Linked DNA regions of Rhinolophus ferrumequinum. The protein of the gene in region 1 interacts with the protein of each later gene in a pairwise test. Links are inferred from orthologs where the notes say so. Each region holds a gene or a part of one and is shown in the gene's direction. Other genes may lie near its edges. The genes, in order: PIN1, THAP7, ZBTB9 and ZNF446.

The links.
Region 2: the proteins of PIN1 (region 1) and THAP7 interact in binary tests that used the Homo sapiens proteins (3 or more experiments, as listed by UniProt). The two-hybrid records come from large-scale screens. The link is inferred for Rhinolophus ferrumequinum from reciprocal best matches to the Homo sapiens genes PIN1 and THAP7.
Region 3: the proteins of PIN1 (region 1) and ZBTB9 interact in binary tests that used the Homo sapiens proteins (3 or more experiments, as listed by UniProt). The two-hybrid records come from large-scale screens. The link is inferred for Rhinolophus ferrumequinum from reciprocal best matches to the Homo sapiens genes PIN1 and ZBTB9.
Region 4: the proteins of PIN1 (region 1) and ZNF446 interact in binary tests that used the Homo sapiens proteins (3 or more experiments, as listed by UniProt). The two-hybrid records come from large-scale screens. The link is inferred for Rhinolophus ferrumequinum from reciprocal best matches to the Homo sapiens genes PIN1 and ZNF446.

What each region holds. Positions count from the first base shown.
Region 1 is NC_046301.1:40,249,501-40,256,844, reverse strand, and holds the start of PIN1 (peptidyl-prolyl cis-trans isomerase NIMA-interacting 1), read left to right. Parts: upstream 1-4,327; 5' UTR 4,328-4,412; coding exon 4,413-4,470; intron 4,471-6,411; coding exon 6,412-6,624; intron 6,625-7,344. UniProt on the Homo sapiens protein: Peptidyl-prolyl cis/trans isomerase (PPIase) that binds to and isomerizes specific phosphorylated Ser/Thr-Pro (pSer/Thr-Pro) motifs.
Region 2 is NC_046308.1:23,399,084-23,406,691, reverse strand, and holds the start of THAP7 (THAP domain-containing protein 7), read left to right. Parts: upstream 1-4,597; 5' UTR 4,598-4,756; intron 4,757-4,930; coding exon 4,931-5,010; intron 5,011-5,339; exon of another isoform or gene 5,340-5,375; coding exon of another isoform or gene 5,376-5,434; coding exon 5,435-5,590; intron 5,591-6,128; coding exon 6,129-6,269; intron 6,270-6,433; coding exon of another isoform or gene 6,434-6,444; coding exon 6,445-7,009; 3' UTR 7,010-7,608. Other genes in the region: tubulin alpha-3 chain, read left to right, coding at 30-178, 487-1,167, 3,423-3,719. UniProt on the Homo sapiens protein: Chromatin-associated, histone tail-binding protein that represses transcription via recruitment of HDAC3 and nuclear hormone receptor corepressors.
Region 3 is NC_046286.1:3,763,336-3,771,103, forward strand, and holds ZBTB9 (zinc finger and BTB domain-containing protein 9), read left to right. Parts: upstream 1-4,784; 5' UTR 4,785-5,045; intron 5,046-5,198; 5' UTR 5,199-5,273; coding exon 5,274-6,677; 3' UTR 6,678-7,259; downstream 7,260-7,768. Other genes in the region: SYNGAP1 (ras/Rap GTPase-activating protein SynGAP), read left to right, coding at 1,041-1,187. UniProt on the Homo sapiens protein: May be involved in transcriptional regulation.
Region 4 is NC_046298.1:50,934,383-50,941,868, forward strand, and holds the start of ZNF446 (zinc finger protein 446), read left to right. Parts: upstream 1-4,480; 5' UTR 4,481-7,459; coding exon 7,460-7,486. Other genes in the region: zinc finger protein 324A, read left to right, coding at 31-48, 1,236-1,362, 1,729-1,845, 2,463-3,895. UniProt on the Homo sapiens protein: May be involved in transcriptional regulation.

The sequences.
Region 1 (7,344 bases):
AGTTAGGAATACAGGTTCTGGATTCAGACAGACTGGGTGGAATCCCAGCTCTGATACCAACAGCGACCCTGGGCAAGTTACTTACCCTCCCTCAGCCTTCATTTCTTTTTCCAAACTGCAACTGATAGTGTTTACTTTATTGTCCTGTCGTGAAGTATAGATGAGATAAAACATGGTTAAACATCTACAGTTCCTGGCGCTTATGAAATCCTAGTGGACAGAGCAAGACTGTGGCATAGGCTGAAATTTGACTGATCTTACGTAGTAGTGGGATTTGGGGAAGTCAGCCTCTCTGATCCAGAGTGTTCCCCTCGAGAAAGGGATACCATGATGGCTTACATCTCAGTGAGATAATGCAGTTAAAATAACACGATGTCTGATAAATAGTGCTATTAGGTGTCTCCAGCCTTCTCCCATGTGTGAGCAGACGACGCCAAACACTCCATCTCTGTTCCCCTAGCCACAGACCCTGGGGTTGACCTTGGCCCTGTCCTTTCCCAGAGCGGCATTCTGGAGCCGTTCTCAAGAGCTTCACCCACAACCTGGCTCCATCCCTTCTCCCCTCTCTTGTATTGACCTGCCCTGTCCTCGGTTCACAAACACAGTCGAGTGTAGTCCACTGACCCTTCCCTTCCCCCAAAGTCCCCCCAGCCTTCTGCCTTCCCTTCACTACCAAGCTTTTTTTTGTTGTTTATTTGTTTCTTACTACCACCAAGCTTCTTGGCAGCTGCACCTGCCAGCTGTCTGGGGGCTGCTGGCCTGTAGCCCATTGAGAATGGTCTCTCTTTGGTCTCCCATTACTCACCTCCCTACCTATCTGTTGGCTTCCCTCCTGTCCCTAGGACTCCACTTCCTCCTGACATGTCAGACATGTCTGTTTCCTGGTACCCTGGCCCTTACTGCATTTACAGCTCAATCTCGCCCCTTACTGTCTGTTAGAAAAACAAACCCAACAATTTTTTTTTTAACTACACGAGGGACTTGACAAGGTAATCCCTTATTAATTTCAAATCAGCCTAGAAAAGTACATGCTAAAAGTAAAACCCCTTTCCTCACCCGATTCTCTCTGCTGAGGTCAGACCTTTTCTAATGTATTTTTATAAACTTCAATTTGGTTTTTAAAAGATGTCTATGCTAATATCTGGTTCTTAAATAACATTCTCCAATAAAAGGAACTAGGGCTTCTTGGAAAAGTGATTGGTTCAAGAGCCAGGGCAGGGAAAATACAAGCTAAGCGTGGAGCATCTTGTGGTGTCAGGAAGTAGGAAGTGCTCAATTAAAAGGATGGAAACATGGAAAGAGCACAGAAGCCAGCCTATGAAAGAGCTCCCAGTAACCAAATTTGGAACAACTTGAGCAACAAAATAACGATAGTATTGGACTATAACCCAAAGAATAAATACCCTTGAGCCCATGATCATATCAATAAATAACTGAATATATAAATAAATGGAGAAGGGGCAACTCGTCATTACAAAAGGATTTCAATTAATAAACGTAGACGATTAGAGGAAATAAGAAATCATCCACCATTGGCATACCATAGTAATAATTGCTGTAGGCAAGATGCACTGATAAATGCTAAACTCGGTGGGTAAAAGTTTAAGCAGAAGTAGGATATTTGCACACTCTCAAAGTATCTCCTCAAAAGTATTTATTCATTACAATAGTAACTTTAGAAACTGCCTAGACCAAGTGATCAAAGTTAATATTGCCAAGTGTGGCAGGCAGCCTGTAAGATGGCCCCTAACGATCCCCCCATTCTGGTATTCACACCCTTGTGTAATCCCTTCCTCTTGAGTATAGGCTAGACCTCGCTTCTAAGAAATAGGACATGGCAAAAGTGGTGCACTATCACTTCGGAGATAAGGTTGCAAAGAGACTGGATTCTGTCTTGCTTGCTCACTTGCTCATTGATGAAAGCCAGCTGCCATGTTTTGGAGAGGCCGCCAGCCAATAGCCAGTGAGGAACTGTGGTCCTCAGTACATCTTGTTAGCAACTGAATCCTGCCAGCAGCCACATGAGCAAGCCTGGAAATAGATCCTGCCCCAGTCAAACCTTCAGATTAGACCACGGCTACCCCTGCTGACACCAGCTAAACTGCCTGGATTCCTGACACATAGAAACAGAAAATAAAATGTTACTCCCCTAAATTGTGGGGTAATCTGTTATGCAGCAATAGATACCCTAATGTAACCAGGAATACACTGCAACACCGTCGATCACCTGGTATGATGCACTGAGAAGGGCACGACGACTCTGGGGTACCCTTCCCAATAACTTCAATCGAATCATGAGAAAATACTGACAAACCCCACCATGACAAAACATCAGAATGAAGGCCAGTTCTACTCTTCAAAAGTATCAAGATCGTGCAAGACAAGGAAAAACCTAAAAACTGTCACATACTGGAGGAGACGAAGGAGACATGACAATGTGGATGCAAGTCTAGTTAATAGTATTATACCAAAGTTGATTTCTTAGTTTTGATAATTACTCTATGGCAGAGTTTCTCAGCTTTGGCACTGTTGGCATTTGGGGCTGGATAATTCTTTGTTGTGGCGGCTGTGCATTATAGGATGTTTAACAGCATCCTTGGCCTTTACCCATTACATGCCAGTAGCATTTCTCTCCCCCGACTTGTGACAACCAAAAATGTCTGAAGACATTACCAAATGTTCCCTGGGGAACGAAACCACCCCTGGTTGAGAACATGTTCCTTTACTATGTACAATGCTAATATAAGGGAAGTCTGGGTGAAGGGCATATGAAACTATATTCTATACTAAGTCTAACATATTTTTCAAAAAGGATTATGCTAACATGTGCTTGTAAAAAAAAATGAAAATCATATTAAAATCTAAGTTGCTCATTTCTTCACCTGCATCACGTGGCAGCCATTATCGTATTTGAATGAATCCAGAAATTCTCTATGATATAAACCTATAGTTTTTACACTTTTCAATTAATAATACATACTCTACATACTGATACTGTTCAGCAGCTTGCTTTTTATCTTTGATATCTTTCTATAAACGATGTCATTCTTTTAAAGCAATTTTATTTGTTGGTTTTTGTTATGCTTTTCTATGTACTATCAATTGCTATGCTGTACTATGATTTGCTTTTTTTTGCCCAGCAAACACATTCTTGCTATGTATAGGCCAGGCACTGTTTGAGTGCTTTATATAAATTAACTCATTTGATCTTTACATCAAAGGTATATATGAAATATATTTCATTTCTTATCCTCATTTTGCAGATGGTAAAGCTGAACAGCAGAGGTTAAGTAATTTGTTCAAGGTCATGGTAAATGGTAGAGCCAGGCTTCAAACAAGTAATCCGTCTCCTGAGTGCTCTTAGCCTTCTACCGCATCCTGTCTCTACTTTCTCGTGAACATGTTTCCCTGTGTTTTATGTCACTGCGCCTCATTCTTTCTAAGTCATATGAGGGTCAGTGCTATAGATGAACTGTAATTGAACTCTTCCCTGTTGGTAATCTTTGACTTCCATAGCTATCTCCAGCCCTGGGTCCCCCACCACCTCCTCAGTGCCCCATGGGTGCCACAGACTCCATTTTAAATAGAATCAAACTGAACTCATCCTCCCACGCTTGCCCCCTTCTGTGTCCCTCTCTGAGTGGCAATGCCATCACCCACCAGTCACCAGGATAGAGGCAAGAGACAGCTTTGGAGGGAATAAGTGATGTAAGTAGGTTCCAAAGAAAGTAGAAGGTGTTTGGGTCATTGGTAGAGGGAAAGGGTTAGACTTGCACAAAAAAAATAAAAGGGGATGGGTTAGCTTGGGACATCTGGAGGAAAGAGATGGGAAGAGGGAGGATGGAAGAGCCAAATTTAGGCTTCTGGTGCTTAGCTGCTCATCACCAAGGCAACTGCGTTGCTGTGGCAACAGCAAAGCCAGCATCTCTTCTCCCAAGTACCTCGTCAGCTACCGTTACCTCCACACCAGCCAGACACTTCCGTATAGGGGGCTGCGGCCCTCCGGAAACGGCTGAGGAAGGCGAGAATTGCTGCTGCAGTAGCCAATCGGATGGGCTCTGTGGCGAAGGACGCAAAGGAGGAGTTGGGACTTCTTTGAAGCTCGCCAAAGGGCTTTGAGAAGGCGGGAGTATATCCCTTCCCCACCACTTACAGGACCAGGAGAGGAAGGGGGCGGGGTCGGGTGAGGCCGACTAGGGGGGGACCGGGACCCAGGTAAATGTGGGGAGGATCCGCCCACTGTCGCTTCTGTGCAATAGAAAGCCAGAAGTCCAGTCCGGACAGTTGGAGTGCCCAGTGAGCGTCGTCTCCAGGCCCTGGTGCAAGGCAGGCCTAGCCAATCGGTGGCGGCGGTGGGCGGGCGGCAGAGGCGGTGCGGCGGAGGCGGAGCGGGCGCTGCGGCAGGAGGGAAGATGGCGGATGAGGAGAAGCTACCGCCCGGCTGGGAGAAGCGCATGAGCCGCAGCTCAGGTGCAGCGGGGGTCGGGGCTGGGGCGGGGCCGCGCGGGCCTGTGGAAGCAGGGCTCGAGCTCGCCTCTTGGGCGCGGTGTAGTTGTCCGATTTCCATGGGATCTTGGCTCCTCCGAATCGTCTAGGGTAACGGCCCCGGCCCGCCCTGTGGAGGCTTTGAGCCTCAGGAGCCAGGAAACCGAAGGAAACTAAGGCGGGGATGGGACCGGGAAAGCCTAGGGCCCTGTGGGGGAAACGGGGGGAAGGGGCCGGTGATCCTACGGCACTCCTCCGAGGGATGGTCTTGGTCCTGCCGACCGGGCTGACACTTTTCGGCCTAATGCACCTGACGTCGCGGGGAAACGTCTGTGCACCCCGCTGGGCCCGGGGGCACCCCTGGGGGAGGAGACCCTCTAAACCCATGCTCAGGGCGTGGCCCTAGAGTTGCCCGGCCTCACATCCCCAACCTACTGCTAACACGCGTGCCATCCACACCTAATGCTGAGCCTATGGTGAAATTCTGCCCGAGGACGGCCCCCGTGCTGGGGCCCGATTTAAGGCACATGTACAGTAATGGCAACACCAGGGCACTTTTATCAGCGTCGAGCATTATGCCGGGCGTTTTAAGTGTTTTCTGTCACTGAATGGCCACATCTCCTGGAGGTTGGTAGTCATTACCCCTATCTTGCAGGTGAGGAAACTGACGCCAGAAAACTTAAGGAACTCGCCCAAGGTCATTCATTTCAGGGGGTGGGGGCTGAGTGTGAGGTTAGAACCCAGTTTGTCTCCAGAGGCCCCTGCCCTTGTCACTGCAAACTGCTGAGAAGCAGGCCCCGCTCTCATTCCACTGCCTCCATTGCCCATAGCAGTCAAAGTCGCAGTAATAATTCTGGTTTATTGAACGCCAGGCACTCTGGTGAGCACTTTGCATACATCATCATTTTCTCTCCACTTGCACCAACCCCATAAAGTCTGATTGTCTCACTTCACTGCCACTTTTCAGCTGAGAACACTGAGGTTGGGAGAACTAGAGCCCACTGCCAAGGTTTTAGAGGCCGTCGTGGGTTCCGCTCTCTCCCACCCTGCCTCAGCCCTGGCCTGTGGCTATGGCCTGCAGCATAAAACTGATGCACTGTCCAACTCTGGGCCCCAACTCCTGCCATTCCTGCTCTGCTCAACCCTGACAGCCCTCCTCAGGGGTGACATTCAACCCTTCACGGTGCTGGGCACAAGTCCTCCATGTAACCCAGGCAAACTGGTTTTGTGGAATGATACCCCGTCTCTCCTAGGTCCCTCTTCAGGCTTCTTGTGTGCCGTGTTCGCTCCATGCTGCTCAGTCCCTGCCTAACGTCTGGCCCCCAGTAATGCTGGCCCCTTGGTGCAGCACAGTACGCTGTAGGGGAAGAGAGCTGAGCTTTGGTGTCTGACACGCCTGGGCGCAGTTGTGCCTGGAGCCCACTGAACACTCAGGAAACATACCTAGTTTTGTCATCTATAAAAGGAATATAATCATAGCTATCACACTCTTAATGTGTGCCAGGAGCTATCCTGAGCACTTTACAGATAAGAACTCATTTAGTCCTTACAATGGCCCAACAAGCAGGCGCTGTTGTGTCCGTTTTACAGGTGAGAAAACCGAGGCCTGGGGAAGGTAGATCATACAGTGAGTAAGTAGCAGAGGCAGATTTGAACAGGCAGTCTGGCTGCTGAGTGCATGCTTTGAACCACTCCGTCTCCCCCACCCTGGCTTCCTCTCTACTGTCACCCTGGGTTATTCAAAGTTATCAGTGACTGAAGTTATCCTGTTGTCTCATTTGCCGGCACCTAGAATGTTAGCTCCCTAAGGGCTTGTGGCACGTGGTGGACACAGTGGATTTGCTGAATGATGGCATCTCATAGACCAGTTCCTTATCCTGGCCTATGAGCAGGTCCCAGCTGAATTCCTGCCTCCTCTCCCTTCAGGCCGGGTGTACTACTTCAATCACATCACTAACGCCAGCCAGTGGGAGCGTCCAAGTGGCAACAGCAGTGGCGGTGGCAAAAATGGACAGGGGGAACCTACGAGGGTTCGCTGCTCACACCTGCTGGTCAAGCACAGCCAGTCACGGAGGCCTTCGTCCTGGAGGCAGGAGAAGATTACCCGGACCAAGGAGGAGGCCCTGGAGCTGATCAACAGTGAGCAGGGCTGGAGATGGGCTCTGGGGGGCAGGGCGGTTGGTACCTCTCCCCCTCCAGGGGCCAGAGTGGGCCTTGTACAAATCACACCAGACCCTCCATCCCACTTGCTCAGCTGTCAGGTGTGGCGTTGGCCAACACAGAAATGCCTATATGTGACATGAGCCTGGCCCAGATGGCCACCTCTTCCCACTAGGGACGGTAGGACCCAGCCTTGGAGCCTGGCAGACCCAGGTTAAGAGGGTAGCTATGTTGCCCTGTAACCTCCATGACCTTGGGGATTCAAGTCACCTCCATGAGACTCAGTTTTTGTTATAAAATGGGCAGCGTCATATATTGTCTATAAAATGGGCACCTCTGAGGGCTGTTGTGAAAATTCAGTGGGATGAGACAGTGCATGAAGCACAGTGGGCCCTCAGTCAGTCGGAGCTATTGATGATAATATCATCAAGCAGGTTTCTGTGGCACATGTGTGGGTGGGTCTGGAAGAAGGGGGAGGGGGAGGGAGGTTGGAAAAGTAGCAGCACAGAACTAGCCAGCAGTTATAAGTTAATTCTGCCCCAAGACAGGGGGCTGTTCCTTGCTTTGTTTTGTGTTTTCTCCACAGTCTAGAGCAGCAGTTGGTAACCTTTTTCTTAAAAGGCCAGATGGTAAATATTTTAGATTTTGTGGGCCATACAGTCTCTGTCAATTCTGCTTTGTAATATAACAGCCATAGAC
Region 2 (7,608 bases), on another chromosome or scaffold:
AGATCCATGGCACACGTGTCCTCTTGTAGATGAAGTGCGCACAGGAACCTACAGGCAGCTCTTCCACCCGGAGCAGCTGATCACGGGGAAGGAAGACGCAGCCAATAATTATGCCAGAGGCCATTATACCATCGGCAAGGAGATCGTCGACCTGGTCCTGGACCGCATCCGCAAACTGGTAAGAGCACTGGGAAGGCTTCCTGACGGCATTAGCCTGGAATGGGAGGGAGGCCTTGGAGTGGGACCAGGAGGTCATGTTGGCAAAACCCAGGCCAGAATGACGACTCCATGGTCTTCCTGTCCCGTGGGGCTCCATGCATCCATACGCATACATCTCTAGTGTCTGCTTTGCCTCCCCTCAAAGTGCAGTGCATGTTCACTGGGGACGATTTGAATTCGTATCCTCCTGTGGAGGCAAAGAAAAGTGACAGCGGCTTGGTGGGGTCGCTTCTGCTGGCGTTGCTCATGGTCTCTGCTTTCTCTCAGGCGGATCTGTGCACGGGGCTGCAGGGCTTCCTCATCTTCCACAGCTTCGGGGGCGGCACCGGCTCTGGGTTTGCGTCTCTGCTCATGGAGCGGCTCTCAGTGGACTACGGCAAGAAGTCCAAGCTCGAATTTGCCATCTACCCAGCCCCCCAGGTATCCACGGCCGTGGTGGAGCCCTACAACTCCATCCTGACCACCCACACGACCCTGGAACATTCCGACTGTGCCTTCATGGTGGACAACGAAGCCATCTATGACATATGTCGGCGCAACCTGGACATCGAGCGTCCCACGTACACCAACCTCAATCGTCTGATTGGGCAGATCGTGTCCTCCATCACGGCCTCCCTGCGCTTCGATGGGGCCCTGAACGTGGACCTGACGGAGTTCCAGACCAACCTGGTCCCATACCCCCGCATCCACTTCCCCCTGGCCACTTACGCGCCCGTCATCTCGGCCGAGAAGGCCTACCACGAGCAGCTGTCCGTGGCCGAGATCACCAATGCCTGCTTCGAGCCGGCCAATCAGATGGTCAAGTGTGACCCTCGCCACGGCAAGTACATGGCCTGCTGCATGTTGTACAGGGGAGATGTGGTCCCGAAAGACGTCAACGCGGCAATTGCCACCATCAAGACCAAGCGCACCATCCAGTTTGTGGACTGGTGCCCGACGGGATTTAAGGTAGGACTGGGTGCTGTCGAGTGGTTTTATCGTTCAGCATGTAGCAGACCCTGCGACAGGATGCTGTCCTTGTGGAGAATACATGGCAGCTAGGCTCTTGGTCATAAATGAGTGTACCAGAGTGATAATTTATTCAGTGGTGTCTTGAATTCCTTCCTGAGTCATCACATTATTTATCTGTGGTGGGAGAATTTTTTTTAACAGAATAGGAAAGTTTCCGAAGGATCTTTGGCCCCCTTTTGGAGTGGTAGTATTACTCAGAAAATGTAGGTTGGCCTTAGAAATAAGATACTTTTTTCTTATACTATGAATTTTCCTAAAATAGAAATTTAGTCTTCTAATAGAAATGTAGAAATTTTCTGGGCATTTTGGTAATTCATGTGGACATTTGAAATTGGCGCGTTACTGTAAATGGATTCCAACATGTACTTGGAAGCCAAATAACAGAATGTCAGGCGTTAGACCTGTTGTGATTATCAGGCTAAGTGCTTCATCATGCCTGCGTTCGTTAATTTTGTGCCCTCTTCTTTGTTACAAGTCCTCGTTCACAGTTGGTTTCCTGTGTTAGACAAAGCTGTAGACCTCATATTTGTAAGCCCTGAGGAGTCCTAAGGTGTTTGTGGAGTTACAAGTTCCAGGGTCATGCCAGATTGAATATGACAAGTAGTAGAAATATGTGTCATCTTGTTCCCATTTGGAATGGCAGTAGCTTGCCTCTGACCACACACAAGTTGTTGAAGCTATCTAGCCCTCTGTCAGACCCACTCTAAGAAACCATGACGCAGATCATCTCTGAGGACATAAAACTGACAGATTTAAAGTGACTCACAGAAAAGGGTAAAACAACAGGTTTCATCAATCTGGAAATATTCATTAAATCTTGCAGACCTTAGAGGTTAGAGGTAGGAGCTGAAACCTTCCACTCCATGTGTGTAATTACCACGTTCTTGACTTGCATGGAGGAAATTTTCTTTAGTCACTGTGACCTCTGGAAGGTAAGCACATCCAAGAAAGCCTCAGCTGGGAAGTGCTGTGCCCTGTGCCCAGATTTCCTATCATAGCTGAGTCTCTGCCTCCTGTCACCCAGTGGGGAGGCTGGTCTGTGTGGGGAGGCACAGGAAGTCAAAGCTTGTACTGACTGTCCCCAAAGAAGACAGTCCAGCCTCAGATAACCATGTTGAATTCTCATGCTAGTTTTTTGGGTTGTTTTTTTTTGTCAGTCTTAGTGTAATTTCACCATATATTCTTTAACAACCATTTGCTCAGGGATACACTCTTTTCAAGGAATCTTTTATGTTTAATAATTTTTAGTTTTTTTATAAAAATGCATATACATGGCAAAATATTAAAACAATGCAGAAGGCTGAAAAACACTAAATTCTCTTCCCCTTCCCCAGAGGTTTGTCTTTCAAGAGATACTCTGTGCATATTCGAGGTATATGATGCCTCGTTATGTGGGTGATGTTGACAGAAAGAGACCAGCAACATGGGCAAAGGACGCACAATCTTTACACGTAGGTGATAGATTTGACTCACTGCACACAGGTGGCCAAAGAGAACAGGAAGCTGGCAGCACTCCCACTTTGAGAGGCTGTCTGGCCTGGCATTAGAGCTGCGGAAGGGCACCCCTTGATCGGGGTCAGAGCCCCGTATCCTCCGTGCCCCTCCCAACTCTTCTGGAGACTGGCTGTGTGTCTGGCTGCTGCTGCCTGCTATCTGCTCACAGGACAGAGATCGGTGCCTGCCTCACACTCCCAGGCATTTGTCTTCCTCCAGCACGATGTTCCCCTCGCTGTCCAAGGCAGTAGCCTGTTACTCTATACACATTGCTAAGCATAAATACATAGAATTCAACTTGCTATTCTTTTTACCAAGTATACCTTATACCTTGGACATGTTGATATACCAGGACAGATTTTTCACTCTTTTTTATGCTCGTACATAGTGTTTCACTGTATGGGCGTATATTTAGTTCCCCATGATGGACATTTGTTCCAGTTTTGCCATTACAAGCAGTGCTTTAAACTAAATAGTACATAAAAATCTTTACACATGCAGCTTTGTGCTCTTGTGTGGGTAAATCCAAAAAGTGAAAGTGTACAGTCAAAGGATATTAAATGTTGATATTGCCAGAAAATACTGGACCAGTTTCTATAGGGTGTCATTTAAACTGTGTCCACAGCTCCAGTTTTGAAAAACAAGCTACCATTTCTGAGGCCACAATATAAACTTCACTCTATTCCCTCCTCTGGCAGGTGGGCATCAACTACCAGCCCCCCACTGTCGTCCCTGGGGGAGACCTGGCCAAGGTGCAGCGGGCCGTGTGCATGCTGAGCAACACCACTGCCATCGCCGAGGCCTGGGCCCGCCTCGACCATAAGTTCGATCTCATGTACGCAAAGCGAGCCTTTGTGCACTGGTACGTGGGGGAGGGCATGGAGGAAGGGGAGTTCTCTGAAGCCCGGGAAGACCTGGCAGCTCTGGAGAAAGATTATGAAGAGGTTGGTGTGGATTCTGTGGAAGCAGAGGCTGAAGAAGGGGAAGAATACTGAATGGGAGAGTACAGCTGGCAACCATCCCTGTTTCCCATCCCCCACTGTAACGTTACAAGACATGTATACAAACTATTAAAGTTTCTGTATTGAGGTATTGTCTGTCCCTTGTGCTTCACTTTGACAAAATTCCCCATTCAAATACCTGCCTTTTTCCAAGTGGATTTTCTAGGGGAAAAACATGTTTCCTCTCAGACCGAAAAAATTATTGTCTTTATGTTTAGTTACTGTATTTCTCCCAGAAAGGCTTCAAAAGGCACGGCTCAGGGAATTAGGAAGAAAGATGCTTCGATTATTTTAAATGTAAACATTCTTAAATCCTTCATGCCTGATGTTCTTTGAAGGATGGAATAGTAACCTGGTTTTCTTCTAAGCAGTGGAGTGGCTGTTTTCACCCTGTCTTGGGAGGGGCCAGGGAGGCCGCCCTGCCCAGCACAAATCTATTTCCTGACCTCCGATTCCAGGAAAGCCCCTTAGTTTTCCCTGTCAGCGTCCCTAACGGAAGTCGCTACACAGAAACTTCCCTGCCCATCACATTTTCCCAAAACGTAATCAATGGCCACCGCCCACTCTTCTCATTACAGGCACCTCTCCTGAAATTAGTCGTGAGCACTGGTATTTTTTAGGTTCTTTTGATCACGCGTCCCGGTCTCTTTCTTGCTGTTGGAGTACGTTTCTTGCAATCGGGGCCTCCCTGGGCGGCTTGCGCGGGTACCGAGGCATTGTCGTTTTACCGCCGCCGCGTCGCGCAGACCCGTACCCCGGGCCCTGTGCTGCCGAGTGGAGCCGCTCATTGGGTGCCCGGGCGTTGACGGTCAAAAGTTAGACCCGAAAGGACAGAGGGGCCAACGTTGCCACGGCGCAGGCGTCCAGGGACCCTAGGACTAAACGGGTCCCGCGGCGACGCCACGCTTCCGCCACTTCCGGGGCCCGCCCCGCCCCTCGGTCGAGCGCCCGCGATTTCGAGTCTCTATGGTAGCAACTTCCGCCGCTCGCTATATCTCGCGAGACTACGGCGGCTCAGCAATGGCAAGACCGTGAGTGCCGCTGAGGGGAGTCAGGAGTACGGGTTGGGTCGGGGCTCAGGCGAGATCGGGCCGGGGGGCAGACCTGCCAGGCCAAGGCCGCCCGAATCGGAGCGGCGGCTGGGGGCGCGAGGCCCCTCTGAGTCCGAACAGTCGCCCGTGACCAAGCTCCCGCCTCTTCCCCAGATGCCGCGTCATTGCTCCGCCGCCGGCTGCTGCACACGGGATACGCGCGAGACGCGCAACAGCGGCATCTCCTTCCACAGGTCAGCGCGCGTGCGTCTTGCACGCGAAGATTCACATGCGCATGCGCCTGTTTTGCCCGCCTCATGAAGTCACCATTGCGCATGCTCTTTGGTTGGGGGCGAGGCTTGAACTTGTGGGTGGGAGAGAGTGAAGGGGGCGGTCCAGGTGGGACTGAGTCCAGACGGGAAAGGATGAAAGGGAGGTCCACCATCCTTGGGACTTATTTTTTGCGACTCTTAACCTGCTAGATGACGCTGACCACGTTGTTCCCCTTTTTGAGACCTCAGTTTCCTCGTCTGTGCCCGGATGGGCGGTGCTTACCTGACAGTTGAAGGGAGGTCTCTTGCAGCATGTGCAAGGCCAGCTCTTCCCACCTGTGGAGCTTATGCAGCATGATGCCAGGGCTGCAGGCAGCCTGGGACTCACGGGTTTGTGGCTCCACAGACTTCCCAAAAAGGACAACCCAAGGCGAGGCTTGTGGCTGGCCAACTGCCAGAGGCTGGACCCCAGCGGCCAGGGCCTATGGGACCCAGCATCTGAGTACATCTACTTCTGTTCCAAACACTTCGAGGAGAACTGCTTTGAGCTGGTGGGAATCAGGTGAGCCTCCTTGCCAGCCAGCACTGGGGCATCTGTAGGGCCCGATGATGAGGTCCCTATAGCAGCTGGCACAAGGCCAGACCTGGTTTCAAGGGTGACTGCCTCTTCCCATCTCTGTACCTCAGTTTCCCCTTCTGACAGATGAGAACAGTAAGACCCACCCCTTCAGGATGACTGTGCCAGTGACACAAAGAAAAACATTGAGCTCTTCCAGAGGGTTTGCCTTAGAACCCCCATCCTCCCACCACATCCCCAAATGAAATCATTCTTTTTGGCTGGTCAGCCCCGTTCTGTTGGCGCCTTTCCATGCACCGTAACTTGGAGGAGTTCTGCAGGGAAGAGATTGGTGGAACTCTGCCTAATTTGGCATTGCCCAAACTAATTGTTTTCAATATGCGTTCCTACCTCTCGCCGTGCTGGCTAGCACTGGGGAGCCTGCTCTGCGGTGCTGGAGGGCATGCAGGCTCTGCGCCCCTGCAGGTCAGCTGCGGGTGGCGGCGCTTGTTCTCCATCTCATCCAGGCTGCTTTCCCCCACAGTGGGTATCACAGGCTGAAGGAGGGGGCAGTTCCCACGATATTTGAGTCTTTCTCCAAGTTGCGCCGGACAACCAAGACCAAGGGGCATAGTTACCCACCTGGCTCCCCTGACGTCAGCCGGCTCCGGCGATGCAGGAAGCGGTATGTGCTCTGGGTGGGGGGTACCCCACTCCCACCCCAAGTCTGAGGGACAGGGCTTTAGGGTATCTACCAGCAGCCATGCTGAACAGGGTCCTGAGTCTGTGGGGCGGGTTCAAGGGGGCTGGTGAATTATGGTCTGGCAAGCTTTTAGCCTGACCTGTCAGTCTCTCCACAGCTGCTCTGACAGTCAAGGGCCCACAACTCCTTTTTCTCCACCTCCACCTGCTGACGTCTCCTGCTTTCCTGTGGAAGAGGCCTCGGCACCTGCTGCTTTGCCTGCCTCCCCCACTGGGAGGCTGGAGCCTGGCCTCAGCAGCCCCTTCTCAGACCTCCTGGGGCCTCTGGGTGCCCAAGCGGATGAAGCAGGCTGCAGTGCCCAGCCCTCACCGGAGCGGGAGCCAGAGCGGCAGCCATCCCCTCTTGAACCACGGCCTGTCTCACCCTCAGCCTATATGCTGCGCCTCCCACCACCTGCTGGAGCCTACATCCAGAATGAGCACAGCTACCAGGTGGGCAGTGCGCTGCTCTGGAAGCGGCGGGCGGAGGCCGCACTCGACGCCCTGGACAAGGCCCAGCGCCAGCTGCAGGCCTGCAAGCGGCGGGAGCAGCGGCTGCGGCTGCGGCTGACCAAGCTGCAGCAGGAAAGGGCACGTGAGAAGCGGGCACAGGCAGATGCCCGCCAGACTCTGAAGGAGCATGTGCAGGACTTTGCCATGCAGCTAAGCAGCAGCATGGCCTGAGTGAGGGGCCACTGGACCCAGGGTTGAGGAACTGCCTGTCAGGGCTCCAACCTCTTCCTCCTTCAGAATCCACCTGGACAGGGACCTGATCTAAGCTGCATCCGTCAGACCCACCAGATGCCATAATAAAGTGGATTCCTGAAGGAGGCCCTGTATGATTCATCTGGGGGCTGGGGCCCCTCCTGGATCCCAGGCTTGTTCCCCCAAACAGTGGCTGCAGACTGCAGAGGGCTCAAACCCTGGAGTTTAAGCTCTTGGCTGTGGAGAGCAGAAAGCCCAGCTCCGTGCCCCATGGGGTTCTCTGAGGACCAGGATTGTGAGTAGAGGCTGCAGGCAGCACTAGGCACCCCTTGCCGTGGCATCTGAAACAGCCTTGACTTCAGCAAGCTGATCCTCTTTGAAAACACTCCTAAAACCCAGGCCAGACTCAGTTCCTTTGCGGGGACACAACAGACTTCCCTCATAGGCCCAGTCTGCCCAGCCTGAGTCCCGGCTTACAGGCCCACCACCCACCACGGGGCCCGTCTTATTTGAAAACAAGGACAAGGACAATTTCTGACTGCCTGGGGCTGCTTGGCTCGGCAAGTAGTGAGGGCCCA
Region 3 (7,768 bases), on another chromosome or scaffold:
ATACAATAGGACCAGGGGTGGGAGTAGGGTCTGGTACCCCTCACCCTTTAAGTGGGAGCCCAGGGAGAGGGATTGAAAGGAGTGTGGGGGTGGAGGAATGAAGCACTTTTGCTTCCTGGGGATGTAGAGATTGAGGCCTGCTGAGTCTCTGCAGAAGCTCCCAGTGGTTCTGGTTAGCGTGAGAGAGAGGCAGCCCTCCCACAGTATTTGTACCTTCCCACGTCACTTCCCTGAATCCCCTTCCTTTCCCCCCAGTACAGTTAAACCTCTCTAATTTGGAATGTTATATTTGAGAAGATGGCCACTCTGAATAAGTGACAAAACTGAATGACTGTCTATTTAATGAAATGCATGTCTTCAAAATATATACAGTAAGTAAACCTCACTGAATAAGGCTTTTCCACTCGAGGCCCTCAGGGAGCATGCGTTAATGAATAGATAGAATTGAAAAGTCTGTTTTCTAGTATAGGTTAAATATTCCTCCTACAGACACATTTCCATCATTAATTTGCTTAGCACACCCTTTCTTCATAGATAAAGGAAAACTCAAGCCCAGTTTTTGTTCAAATTATGAAAAAATTCCAAATCCATGGGGGTTTGGATTAATGAGGTTTTGCTGTACTGCCTCCCCTTTGTTCCCTCAACACAAAGTTCCCACCTCGGACTGGGGGTGGGCCGGGAGGGGGCTCCGCGAGGAGGAGGAGGCTGGAGGCTGGGCCGGCAGGGGAAGATACAGGGTTAGGTGGCTGGGGGCGGGGAGGTTTCCTGGTGTGAACTGGTTTCCTGGTGTGCTTCCCTGGGTTGAAGGCCCTTGTTAGGAGACGGGGGGTAAGATTCTCTTCTCCCTGAGCCCAGAAGATGTAACTTCTACTGCAGGTGAGAAACAAAATAGGAGGGAGGTTGGGGTTGTCCTGAGGGAAGGGGTGGGACCTGGCATCTGGAGCGGGCTGGCTAAGGGGGAGGCCACTAGAGAGGGCTGGCACCCAGGCCCCCTCGAAGCGTCTCAATAAGTCCGCGCTCTCCTCTTTGGTGTCTTGCAGGAGAGGCAGCTTCCCCCCTTGGGTCCAACAAACCCGCGTGTGACGCTGGCCCCACCTTGGAACGGCCTGGCCCCCCCAGCCCCGCCCCCCCCACCCCGGCTGCAGATCACCGAGAACGGCGAGTTCCGAAACACCGCGGACCACTAGCCACCCAGCATCACACACCTTCTTCCTGACCATGCACCCCACCTGAACAGCACCAACCAACAGGACTGGACTTCGCCGAGGGACAGCGGGGTTGCTCCCTGAAGGCCTCCTTGGGGGGCACCAGTCTCCCCCCTTCACTGCACCATTTCCAGGAGGGAGAGTGGGGACCCTTAGCTGCCCCTTTTTCTTTCCTGTTGGGGTGCTGCCCCCTGTAACCCACCAAGGACCCTTGCCCCAGGACACCACCTACCCCACACAGACCCCTTCACTCCGGGGTGCTATCCCCATCCTCTGCCTCATCGTTCCCCTGAGCACTGGGGGACAGACCCTAGCCCCCACCCTGGGGGTGTGGCACCTCCAAACTTTCAACTTCAGGGTGATTTTTTAGCAGTAACCAGAGCTGACAATCTAACTCCCCTCCACCGCCCCATTTTGGCCTCCCCTGTCCCCCTTGTTATGGGGAGGGGACCCCAGGTGAGGGGGCCCTATTACCCCTTGATTTCTCAGGAGCGTCTGGGGGGGCTCAGCACGCACAAACTCCTTCTCCTCCTACCACTCTTAAATTTACTCCCTCCCCACCCAGAACCCAGATGGGGTGGAGGGGCCACCGGGGCAGGGAGGGGGCGGCAAGGGAGGAAGGGGAATTGTGTCCCCTTCTTCCCACACCTGATCTGCTCTTGGCTGGTCCCAGAGCGGGGTGAGGGGGCTTATGCCCTCCCCTCCCCCAGTATGTTGGGTGGGGTGGAATTGAGGTTAGGGTGAGGGGTTAGGGTTTGGGGGGGGTGTGTGTTGGGGAGGACAGACTAGCTGGTCTGCCCTACCCTGGCACACGCAGCCCCCTGCCCCCCCCTTCTTGGTCTCTACTCCCAGGGGGAGGAGGGAACTTACTCTAGGAAAAGCCATGTCTCTCTCCCCCAGGGTGGGGGGACCTGTGTTGGAGGAGGGGTGTTGGGGGGCCCCTTCCATGACTCTGTCCCCCAGGGGGAGGTAGGACAGGGCTGGGCCACCCTTTCATCCTCCCCCCACCCCAATCTCCCTCCACCTCCCTCCTTCCCGCCAGCTCCACAATTTTTTCGGTGTTTCTCTGTACATAGCTCTCTGGCGGGATAGGGGAGGTAGGATGGATGGGGCTTGGGGTGGGTAGGTCATGGGAGGGGAGAAACCCCTCCTTGACACCCCCTCTTCCCTGACTGCTGTCCCCTCCCCAGCCTTGCCCCCTCATCCCTTCTTGCGTTTGGTATTGAGACTTCGCAGACTCCATCCTTCTTTCTTTTGTATGGACAGTTCCCCTTCAGTCCCCTTCCCCTATACACGTACACCCAGCCGGGGCCAAATTTATACTTATATAAAAGTTGTAAATATGTGAAATTTTATCCCTGTGCCCTTTCCTTGCTTTCCCAACTTCAGACCCAACCCTGGACCCCCTCTCCTCCTCCTCTCTTCTTTGGCTGTTGTAATTATCTGGGGTTTGTACTGTACATATCCGGGGTGTGTGTGTGTGGGCTGGGGGCAACCCCTCTGTACAGAGCTTCCTGGCCCCCTCCCCCCATGCTACCCTCCCCACCCACCACCCTAAGGGTAGGGAGATGCTCTTCCTACCTGTTTTATTTTGTTTTCTCGTTCTCCCTCCCCACCCAGCCCCACTCCCAGCCTTCTCTACCCCACCACTGTCCCTTTTTCTCCACTCCCAGCCCCATTTCCTTTTTTTCTGGAGTGTGTGGTGAAACAGAAAAATCATGTTTAATAAACGGAGATTGTTCTTTTATCACTACGCTGATTTTCCTAGGCTGGGGCCTCCAGGACCAGCACAGTGATCGGATCTGCTTTTTTGGGAGGGGGCTTACAGCCTAGGAGAAACTACCCCTGCATGATGCCATAGTGTGCTCCTAGAATACCACTCTCCCATCCAGTGAGATTTACTGTTTTAGAGCAGGGGTGTTAAAAAACAAAACTCGACTGAGTAAATTTAAAGATCTAATTGGCTTTATTCACTGATTCATGAATTGGGCAGCATCCCGTCTAGCGAATAGGAAGGATCTCAGCCCAGCTACAGAAAAGGAAAGGTTTTTAAAGGTGGAAAGGGGTGGAAAACAGAATTAGCAAAGAACGCATTGTCGCAGGCAAGGTCCCCCTCCTAAGGGGCACAGAAGGGGTCCTCACTATAGAGCTGCAGGTAATTCCAGGTTGACTACCTAAAGCAGGGGTGTCCAAACTGCGGCCCACGGGCCAACTGCGGCTTGCAATCCATTGTTAATTGGCCTGCAGCAAATTCCAAACATATATTTAGTTTACTTAAATAAACCAGGTGAGGCAATACGTACTTCACCTCGAGTGAGTGGCCCGGCTGTGTGTGTATTTTACCGCATACGGCCCTTGGTGAAAAACGCTGAAAAAAGTTGGACACCCCCTGACCTAAAGGTTACATTCGAGGGACAGGGTAAAACTGCAATTAGGTTAAGTATTGATTCTTAGTTTGCAGACATGGGCTTGGCACAGGTGACTCCATTTTGGACCTGCTGTCTGTTTTGTAACAGGGTTTTGCACTGGCCGAACACCCAGTCTAGCTCTCCCCTCACCTCTGCCCCACTTAAGCCCAAGGAGTAAAGCCAAGGAATCTGATAAAAGATTCCAAGTATATATCTACATATATCTTTTTGGGGAAAAAATTACCTAGAAATAAGGTTTAATTGCTGGTTGAAATGCTCCCGTGCAGAATGGAGGAAAGAACGTGGTTCCTTGGCAAACTGGGTTTCAACGCCAGAGCCACCAGTTGCCAGCCTCGGTTTTCTCCCTGTGGGGACAGAGTCCAGAGTGCAGTTTCCAGGCTCTCGGCCTCACGAGGAAGGGTGCTGGCTCAGGTAGTAAATGGCCATCAACTGTGATCGGATGGCCATCAGCTGTAACCAGTGAGCCATTGGCCACTAATATAACTGCTGTGGCTATGCTAGCAGAAAATGGGGGCTAGCAAGATGGTGGCTGAGCTGGTGAGAGCTGATTGCAGTTAGCACGGCGGATTGCAGTTAGCAAGTGAGGTTGGTTGGCAGAGAGAGAAGTGGATGGCGGGTTGCGTGTGGCTTCTGCTACCTGTGTCTCCAACCCATCCGCCAGTGAGACTATAGTGGTATGACTCCCCTATCTAGGGCTCCATGGGTGTTCCTTTTTGGCCTCATCATGTCCTGCGTTCTTATGTGGGGAGCGGGGCCAGAGACCCCGCATGCCACCCTGCATGACACCCTCCTCCCCTCCCCCAAGAAAACAGGAGGGCAACACCTACCTCGCAGGGCAGGGGTAGGACCCAGGGAGATGTGGCCAGTGCCCAGCCCACACAGCAGGTGCCCACTTAATCTCGCCCTCTCGGCACCTGGCTGGGCACCCGCAGTACATTTTATCACCAAGGCGGCTCACTAGTCTCCCCTCCTACCGCTCAACGCTTCCCAGGCCCGACCCCCGGGCCTCCCGCAACGGCGGCCGCCGTGAGACGAGCACCGCTTCTCGCCCGCGCAACCAATCAACACGAGGCCCGTCGGCCTCCGATTGGCTGTTCGTAGCCCGCCCTCCGCATCCGGCGTCGGCGAGCGCCGGGAGGAGGTGGCTTCCGGCCGGCGGCGCGGTGGTGGTTTAGACGCTCTCCGGCCGCGCGGCGCGTGTACCGGCGGGGGCGTGGCGGCGGGAAGGACGAGGACGGCGCGGCCGGCGCTCGGGGTCTCCCGGAGCCGCGTCTTCCCGGGAGCCGCGCCCTGTGGGCACCGTAGGGGAAACGGAGCGGCGGCAGGAGCCGCCCAGGGCCGGGGGTCGGTCAGGCTCGTGGCTGAAGGTCCTCCTCATCTTGTTCCGCACGCGCTGGAAGTGAAACCCCTGGTTGGTGCTTGGTTGTTTTTGTTTTGTTGGTGGGGATGTGCGCGGGCCTGATCTGCAGCAACCATCACTGAAAATGGGGGGTGGGGAGGCGGGTGGTATCTGAGGTGATATGGTCCCTTTATCCGATGTGACCCCCGTCTCTTTCCACCGCAGCTTTCATCCCGCGTGGGGTCTTCCACGCCCCTCATTTGCTCTCGATCCTGAGACATCTCTCCTTCCTAGGAGGCCATGGATACCTCGACGCCTTTGCCTCCGGTCCCCCCGTCCCCGATCTGCAACCCAGCGCCACGGACCATCCAGATAGACTTCCCTCAACATAGCTCGTTGCTGCTGGAAGCCCTGAACCGTCACAGGCTAGAGGGAAAGTTCTGTGATGTGTCGCTCCTGGTGCAGGGCCGGGAGCTTAGGGCTCACAAAGCAGTGCTGGCTGCTGCCTCTCCTTACTTCCATGACAAACTTCTTCTGGGGGACGCGCCACGGCTCACTCTGCCCAGCATCATTGAAGCTGATGCCTTCGAGGGGCTGCTCCAGCTCATTTATTCAGGGCGCCTCCGCCTGCCGCTGGATGCGCTCCCTGCCCACCTCCTTGTGGCCAGTGGCCTCCAGATGTGGCAAGTAGTAGATCAGTGCTCAGAGATCCTGAGAGAATTAGACACCTCAGGTGGTGGAATGTCAGCCCGTGGAGCGACCCCTTGTCACACACTTCTTTCCACCACGTCCTCTACGGGAGGTTGGTGCATTCACTCTTCCTCTTTCCAGACTCCAGTGCAGTCTTCTGCTTCTACCGAGAGCCCCTTTGGAGGGGAGGGGAGTGAACTGGGAGAGGTGCTACAGATTCAGGTTGAGGAAGAGGAGGAAGAGGAGGAGGAAGAAGATGATGAAGACCAGGGGTCAGCAACACTCTCTCAGACTCCTCAGCCTCCGAGAGTATCATGGATTCCCCGCACTCATGGATCCCACCCACTGCCCATGTCCACCGTTCCCTGTAGGCTTCCGGAGGATGGGAGTGCACCAGCTGAACCTCCTGCCCCTCTAACCACACTGCACCCCAAAATCTTCTACGTTAAGCAGGAACCTTTTGAGCCTAAGGAGGAGATATCAGGAGGTGGGACTCAGTCTGGAGGAGTAAAGGAGGAGACCAAAGTGGTTCCTGGAGGGGACGCTGAAGGGACTAGAGAGCTGGGGTTCTTGCTTCCCTCAGGAGCAGGGGCAGCATCTGGGGAAGGGGGTCCATCCTGGAAACCCGTGGATCTTCATGGGAATGAGATCCTGTCAGGCGGTGGGGGACCTGGGGGTGCAGGGCAGGCTGTGCATGGGCCTGTGAAGCTAGGTGGGGCACCCCCTGAAGATGGAAAACGCTTTGGTTGCTTGTGTGGGAAGCGGTTTGCAGTGAAGCCAAAGCGTGACCGGCACATCATGCTGACCTTCAGCCTTCGGCCCTTTGGCTGTGGCATCTGCAACAAGCGCTTCAAGCTGAAGCACCACCTGACGGAGCATATGAAGACCCATGCTGGAGCCCTGCATGCCTGTCCCCACTGTGGTCGTCGGTTCCGAGTCCATGCCTGTTTCCTTCGCCACCAGGACCTATGCAAGGGCCAGGGCTGGGCCACTGCTCACTGGACTTACAAGTGACCACTGAGGCCATACACTAACTTCCAGGACGAGAGCTACTGCTGCTGATGACGCTTACCCCTCACTACCGTGACACCCCAGTCCTGGATCTTGTAATCATGCCAAAAGGAGAGATACATTATGGACTCTTGTTCTTGGGTGTGGGCCTCAACCTGGCAGATTTGGAAACTCAGATTTTTCATCCCACTCCAGGTTTTGACTAATCACCCTTAGCCAAGTGGTTTACAGGCCATATGTAAATTGGTCACTTGCCCACAATAGACCTGCTTTTCATACAGGAAACCAGATTGCACATTAGAAGTTTATCTGAAGAGAGAAAAGTTAGAACAAGAAGACAAAATGATAAATGTTTCATTCAGTCTCCATGAGGAGTAAAAGGGGCTGGTCTCCACCTAGGGGTATGTTTGATTCAGAGCTTTAGTAATTCAGAGGCTAAGCTCTAAGTTTCCTTTCCCTCATCATAGGGGAAATGTGAACAAAATTCTTTTTTTTTTTCTAACAGGACTTTATTGGGGAACAGTGTGTACTTCCAGGACTTTTTTCCAAGTCAAGTTGTCCTTTTGGTCTTAGTTGTGGAGGGCGCAGCTCAGCTCCAGGTCCAGTTGCCGTTGCTAGTTGCAGGGGGCACAGCCCACCATCCCTTGCGGGAGTCGAACCGGCAACCTTGTGGTTGAGAGCCCGCGCTCCAACCAACTGAGCCATTCGGGAGGCAGCTCAGCTCAAGGTGCCGTGTTCAATCTTAGTTGCAGGGGGCGCTGCCCACCATCCTTTGTGGGACTCGAGGAATCGAACTGGCAACCTTGTGGTTGAGAGCCCGCTGGCCCATGTGGGAATCCAGCGGGCAGCCTTCGGAGTTAGGAGCATGGAGCTCTAACCGCCTGAGCCACCGGGCTGGCCCCAGAATTCTGAATATGTACTTTCCTTATGTCTTTCCAGAAGTCCCTCAGGGTGTAACTTGCTTTCTCACCAGTAGACACCTTCCCAACACCTTTATGTTTATGTTGTAGTTGAACACTTTAAAGTTGAGCGCTCCATGTGTCACCCCTGGGAACCCCTGTAACAGAGAGCATTCCCCCCTCAGCCTGTGCCTC
Region 4 (7,486 bases), on another chromosome or scaffold:
CTGGGTCGGCCGCCTCAACTGCAGGTTTCGATGTCTGCAGCGGCACAGGTTAGTAGAACCTCGGACCCCTCACCCGCCGGGACCACACCTCCATGGACCTAAGACCCGACTGAGGGAGGGACTTCACCTGGACGTCTTGTCTCTTGATTCGCTTTAGGCCCCGGTGTCCATGCCACTGGGGCATTCACGTGTGGAATTCCCCACTACTGGCAGCGAAGGGGGTGAGGTGTGGAAGTTCCAAAGGAAGGATCCCGCACGTAACAGAAGTTGGGAGGGGTGACAGCCTAGGTGCTTCCGCAACTGAGCTTCTCAACGTGGAGCTCGGGCGAGAAGATAGGTATGTCTGAAAGTCAAGCGGAGGAGTTGAGACTATCCCGAGAGCTCAGGAAGCCATGTAAGATTTTGACCTGAAGGAGGACATGCTTTAAATTAGGATTTTTAAAGTATCCCACCGTTTGCCGAGTGGAGAAGAGGCGCAGAGGAGGCGGGTGGTGTGCAGGGAGGAAGCACGTGGACCATATTAGTTCAGTGGAGACAGGAAAGTGGTTGAATTCTGGATAGATCTGCTGATCATCAGATGCGGGGTATGAGTGAATGACCGTCAAGTTTTTTAGTCTGAACACCAGAAGGATGGAGCTGCTGTAGACAAAATAATAAGTTTAAAGGGAAAGCAGGTTTCAGGGGAAAATAAGGAAGAGTCTGCCATGTCCTAGAGTGGAGGCTTCAGGTGGACCTGGAATTGTAGATATCCAAAGACAGAGTCCTAGTATCCTGAGCCGAGGCAGGACCTGGGAATCAAAAGTAGGAGGGGATTTCACGGACTCAGCAAGGGATGGGCAGTTAGTGCTCTAGGGAGATCAAGAGATGCTGGCAGTCCCTGGGGCACTTGGGAAGTCTGGCAGGTGGCTGAAGTAAGGGAAGGTGGCAGCCCAGGGAGGAGGAAATGGAGGGAACTGGCTCCTGTGTGCCCACGCGATCGTTGGGGCCACCACTGTGGAGACTGGTGGGAATCAGCCAGTCCTTCAGGCTGGGGCAGCAGCCTTAAAAGGTCAGGCATATTCAGCAGGGGCATCTAAGGCTCAGATAAGTGAGGGAAGTTGCATCTGCAGAGCCCTGGGGATGGAAGGTGAACGTCTGAGGGACATCAGGGAGGTATCATTGGGACAGGAATTTCGGTCCTGGGTCACTTGGCCGTAGCTTAGATTATGTCCATCTTCCCCTGCCCACTGTTATAGGGCCTGATGGTCTTTGAAGATGTGGCCGTGTACTTCTCCCGGGAAGAGTGGGGGCTCTTGGATGCTGCCCAGAGGGCCTTGTACCACCACGTGATGCTGGAGAACTTTGCACTCGTGGCCTCTCTGGGTAAGGCCCTGGGTCCTCCATGGGAAAGCTCAGTTGTTGCCAGGTTGGTCCAGCAGCACTAACCCCTTACCTCCTGGCGGCCTGTGAACAGCTCCATACCCAGTGGCTGAGTGTCCCTGTCTGGCTGTGGCACCAGACTGTACTGTGCCTGGGCTCAGTACCCTTCCTTGGGCACTGCCAACACATTCCTCCTCACAGGCACCACTGAGTTGTTCTTATGAGTCCTGACTTATGGTGCAACCTGTGGGTTTTCTTGGTTGCACAGATGACACTGTCTGTGTCCCATGAAGCCCTGACTCCGACCATCTGTTGGGCAGTTGGTTGTTTTGAGCTGCGGCTGGCCCCTCACTTGGTTGTCTCTCACAGGACTCTCTGCCTCCCGACCCCGTGTAGTCATCCAGCTTGAGCGTGGTGAGGAACCCTGGGTCCTCAGTGGGACAGATGTGACCCTGGCTAGGAACAACCAGAGGAGGCCCAGCCCTGGTGAGTGGGTCAACCTATGGCCAAGCTTCTGTCCCCTCTCCCCACCCTCCTGGACATGCTCCTCTCCTGCCTTCCACCCGATTTCCTTCTGTTCTCCTTCCACCATCAGCCTCTCCTGAAGGCTCCAGCCTTGGCTTTCCTCAGGGGAAGCTCCAAGAGCACCCCCCAGGCCGTGCTGAGACCTCTCAGAATCCCACCATAAGCCAGGGTGTGTGGCGTCAAAGCCTCCCTGTCCTACCTCACCACCTCATCTGCGACGCCATTCCTTGATTCATTCATGTGTTCATACCATTCCTGTTTCCGGCACTGGGGGCACAGCCTTGATCAGGACGCTCCTGGTCCTGCCTTCGAGGGGTTGACCGCGCTAGGGGAGAGGCAGTCAGTGAACAGTTTGTGAGTAAAACTATCGCATCGGGGAGCCATCAGTGTAAGGAACAAAAGGAGGCTGGGGTATCCCTCAGACAAGTGAGCTACATACAGGAAAGGTCTCTGGCTCCTCTTCTCCCCAGCTTCCACACCCAGACCTTAGGGTCCCCTTGCCCACCCACGCGGTCTGCCCTGGTCACCCTCTCCTGGTGAGGATGACCCCCAGGCATCCACTGTTTCTGTGCCTTCAGGTTCCCAGCATCTGGCAGAGGACAGAGATGTTTCTGGAGAAGCAGTGTGGCCAAGAACCTTCCAGAACACCAGGGTCCCTCCCACCACTGCTGTCAGTGTGCGTGGGAAATGCCTGGGGAGTCGGCGGGCCACCTCCTCATCCCGGGAGAGAAAACCCACGGGGGTCTCCGTGATCTATTGGGAAAGGCTCCTCCTAGGCCCTGGCAGTGGTGAGGCCAGTGTCAGTCTGCGGCTGACTTCCCCGCTGAGAGCTACCACGGGCAGCCCAATCACGGAGAAAGCCCGCACAGACCACCTGGAGCCAGGCAAGCAGCCCAGGGCGCCCGAGCGGCAGAAGCCGTCCCCGCGGGAGGCCCCGGGGAGAACCTTCCCGAGCGACCCTGTTCTCGAAGCCAGTCACTCTCGGGGGGGTCGAGGAGTGCGGGTGGTGTGGCACGAGCCTCAGAGACTCCCCGCCGGCCAGGAGCCCCCGACCTGGGATGAGCTGGGCGAGGCCCTCCACACCGGCCCCGGCCTCCTCCCAGGAGAGAAGACCTTCGAGTGCAGGGCGTGCAACAAAGTCTTCGTGAAGAGCTCCGACCTGCTCAAGCACTTGCGCACGCACACCGGGGAGCGGCCCTACGAGTGCGGGCAGTGCGGCAAGGCCTTCAGCCAGACATCGCACCTGACGCAGCACCAGCGCATCCACAGCGGTGAGACGCCCTACGCGTGCACGGCCTGCGGCAAGGCCTTCCGGCACAGCTCTTCGCTTGTGAGACACCAGCGCATCCACACGGCTGAGAAGGCCTTCCGTTGCGGCGAGTGTGGCAAGGCCTTCAGCCACGGCTCCAACCTCAGCCAGCACCGCAAGATCCATGCGGGCGGGCGGCCCTATGCCTGCGCGCGGTGCGGCCGCCGCTTCTGCCGCAACTCGCACCTGATTCAGCACGAGCGCACGCACACAGGCGAGAAGCCGTATGCCTGCGCGCTCTGTGGGGCCGCCTTCAGCCAGGGCTCCTCACTCTTTAAGCACCAGCGCGTGCACACGGGCGAGAAGCCCTTCACTTGCGCGCAGTGCGGCCGCGCCTTCAGCCACAGCTCCAACCTCACGCAGCATCAGCTGTTGCACACGGGAGAGCGGCCCTTCCGCTGCGGGGACTGCGGCAAGGCCTTCGCCAAGGGTGCCGTGCTGCTCAGCCACCGGCGCATCCACACAGGTGAGAAGCCGTTCGTGTGCGCACAGTGCGGCCGCGCCTTCCGCGAGCGCCCGGCTCTCTTCCACCACCAGAGGATCCACACGGGCGAGAAACCCATGCGGAGGCTCAGGGCCACGGCCGGCCTGAGCTCCCAGGCCAAGCCTCCGGAGGCACCCTCAGCTGGCACGCCTGGGAGGGAAGCCAGGCCCACTTCCAGCTCAGGCCCAGCCACCGTGCCGAAGCCAGCTGAGGCCTGAGGTCCCAGCTCCCCTGTTTCCGATCTCTCCTGAGTCCTTTCCACAGCTAACGGGCCGTGTCCTTTGAAAATCCACACTCTGGAGAAGCTCTGTGCGCACTCTGCAATTCCATCTGTATGTGGTGACAGGATTTGCCACTTCAGCCACAGCTGACTCCATCCCCAAGAGGTCAGGCTGCGGAAAGGTCAGGAGGAGGGAGATGGAGGCTGGGACTTTGGTGAGGCTGAAACATTGCAGAGCCAGTGGCAGGACAGCAGGGCGGCGCCACTGCTCTCATGTCGTGACTGAACACTAAGAGGAGGGCAGTGCCGGGATGGAGTGGAGGCAGGCCGAGAAATTTTTTACACATTCAGGATATTACCCCCAGGTCTGGATTCATCCAAGGCTTCCTGGGAGCTGGCCCAGTGGACGAGAGGTCATGTGGGGGGTTGGGTGCTGGCCCTGGGTAAATGGCTGGGCTCTGAGCCTCAGCTTCCTCCTCTGGGGGAAAGAAAGAGAAAAAAGGGATTTCATCCTACAGAGGGTATTTGCCATACCCTGACAGACAGGCTCTTGATAAGGCCAACATGTGCCAAGTGCCAGCCCCTGTGAGGTGGCTGCTGTGGCTGGTATCCCCACTTCTCGTAGGAGGAAACTGAGGCACAGAGGCACAGAGAAGGGGTGTGAATTGCACACAGTACAGCCAGGCCTGGCATCCAGACAACTTACCACTGCACACCTACGCTCTAATCAGCTCGCTGTGAGGGCTGAGTGAGGCCTGGCCTGGCTCCCTGAGCATGGCTGACCCATAGGAGGTGGAGGTCCGCAGGGGAAAGACAGATGGAGAATGATGGCTCCCTAACCACAGTCGTTCCAATTCTCATCCAAGCCTCAGCATTTCCATGTCCTATTACCAAAGTCAACTTGATAGGAGCCTTTACACCCCACTGTCCTGACAGGAGGTGACTGAAGTGACAGGTTCAGAGGACACAAGATAGGGCTGCTCATTTCTGCAGGGCCCAGGGGCCACATGCCTACCTGTTCTCTGCCCATATGAGGTGCCCTCCTGAGATCCCCGCTCAGTGTGACACCTCCACACAGCGGGAACACTGAGGTAGACAGGTGCGTGGGTGCCCAGTTTACTTCCTGTGGCCCTTAGCAGACTGAGGCCCATTTTGACTTTGGCCTCATGTCTAGGGAAGTTAATGGTCTTTTTACTGGGAAAAAAAAGACGAAGTTACAACTTGGAACGGGCATATATTGTAAATTCTTGCACAGCGCTGTGGAATTCCACAGCTTCAGCCTCCCTTCCCACCCGAGTCCAGAGAGGCTCCCTGATAAAGGTTTCTTTTTAAAAACGTGTGAATGGTAACAGCCTGATTTCACCCTAGCACAGTGCAGACGTGCCCTCAGGGCATATCATTGTCACAGAGCTGTGGGGACTTGGCTTCAACCTGGGTCCCTTTGAGAAGCCACAGGGAAGAGATGCAGCCTGTCTGTGGCCCTGAGGGGTTGGGATACCTGTGTCCCCTTGGCAGCCAGAGGTGGGTGAGGGGCCGCAGGAGACCTGGGTAGGTCTAGTAGGAGTTGGGCCTTTGTGGATTCAAGCTGTGGAATCTGAGTCAGGGGCCATCACAACCAAGACCTCACAGCCATCTGCCATACAGAGTGAGCACAGACATGATCTCCCTACTCCCCCACCTTCCAGCAGGACCTATCTTCCCCAGGAACCTCACAAGTTCCTACAAGGAGGGCAGACTTGGAGGTATGGAGAGGAGTCATGCAGGACCCAGCTCCCCAAGACCCTTCAAGGGCAGGTCCTCCGAGCCAGGCCTCCTGGTACCCTGTGGGCCCTTGAGCCATAGTCCGCCCTTCCTGGACTCATCCTCTCTGCTCTGCTCTGGTCGACACCCTCACCTTTCCGCAGGCTGTCTTCCATGGGGCAGCCTTGAACATGTCACATCCACCTCAGTCTGCACAGCTGTGTAATGCAGACACCCTCACCCTGCTGAGGACTTTTCTGGGGACCCATAGGATTCAGGAACAAAAACATCTGTCAAACTGCAAGTGGGTACCCAGAATCACATGCAACCTTTTCTGCACTTGGGACACACATGGGAGCCCAGTTTCCACCCTGAGCCCTCCAGACCACTCATGCTGGGCCTGATGCCCTTTCCTGTCTACTGACCAGCCGCCTCCTGTTTTCCTTGAGCTCCTCTTGGGTAAGGCCCTGGTTCTCTGTTCTTCCACCAATCCACCCCTCCCAATATCCAGGACTGGTCAGTGGCCTCCACCCTGTTCCTGTGGGAACAGCAACCATAAGCACCTTCCTTCACCCATGTCTTGAGCACCCAACTTCCCCCTAAGTTACTTTCCCCCAAACCTCTGTGGTATGTTGGGCCCTGTACTGCCAGACTGGCTGTTCTTAACCCTGAACAAGCTGTGAGTGTAAGTGTCCCTGGGCTTTCTGGGTCAAGATGGTGAACTGAATACATGCTTCTCACTTGGTTCAGAAGCCCACTGAAACCAGAGTTTAAAACACATCCTGTGGGTTGATGAGGAGAATGGTGAAAGAGGAGGCAGTTACAATGGTATTTTGAACCCAGGTGGGGATGCAAGAGCTGTTACTGACTTATGGCAATTCAGATAATGAGTTGCTACTGGACGAAGTAGACGGAAGTACCACCAGCCTTATGCTGCAGAACTTCAGAAAGCTTGAAAATCAGCCACCTCCCGGGAGGGGAGACCTAAAATATGACGGGTGGGAGAATACTGGAGAAAGCTGTAAGAGCTTCAGCTCTATCTACATGGTGGATGGTGGGAGAGTCATTTCTGGGGAACCCACACAGTCCAGAGAAAAGACCTAAGCCCCCACAAAACAGCCCAATCCCATGACACACTCCTGGGAAGACTTGACAGGCCCTAGGCTGAGAGCTTCCAATCATGGCAAGCTGGCTTGCTCTTGGCAAGCTGGCAGTCAGGGATTCCTAGGTATCAGAAAGAACCATGACAAACAGTTGCAATTTATGATTGAATATACAAGTCACAGTTCAGCCACCTTTGCTTCCACCTGATGTATGGAAGCAAAACTGGCCCAGTCCCAGTCAGATTTTGATAACATTGCCTGTTGAGATAAACTAAAAGGTCACCTTACTGGTTCTGGCTACCCAATTAAGTAAAAGGTTCAGCATGTCCCAAAAGCCTGGACAAAAACTTCCATCCTTCACTTTGCAGTACAATACTGATATCTGAAGATATGTCAGACTAGGTATAAATCATGGGACAGTTTTCTCATCAGTAAATGGGTGCCCACTAGGGGCAGGGCCCTCAGCGGAGATCGAATGAAGGACTCCAGCATCCTCCCTGGAGAAGGCCCATGGATCCGGCCGGCCTTCCCAGGTGAACCCCGCTTCTTCCTGGGACCACCCGGAGGTGAGTTTCTGCCGAACTATTAATAGTATATTACCCAGGCCGTCACTTCTGGCCTCCCGGGAGGGCAGGGCGACGCTCCTGCCGTTGCCTTTGAAACGTATGCAGGCGGGGACATACTTTAGCGGTTACCAAGGGGACAGATGAGCGACCAAAATGGAGCCTCAGGAAGAGCGCTGGAGG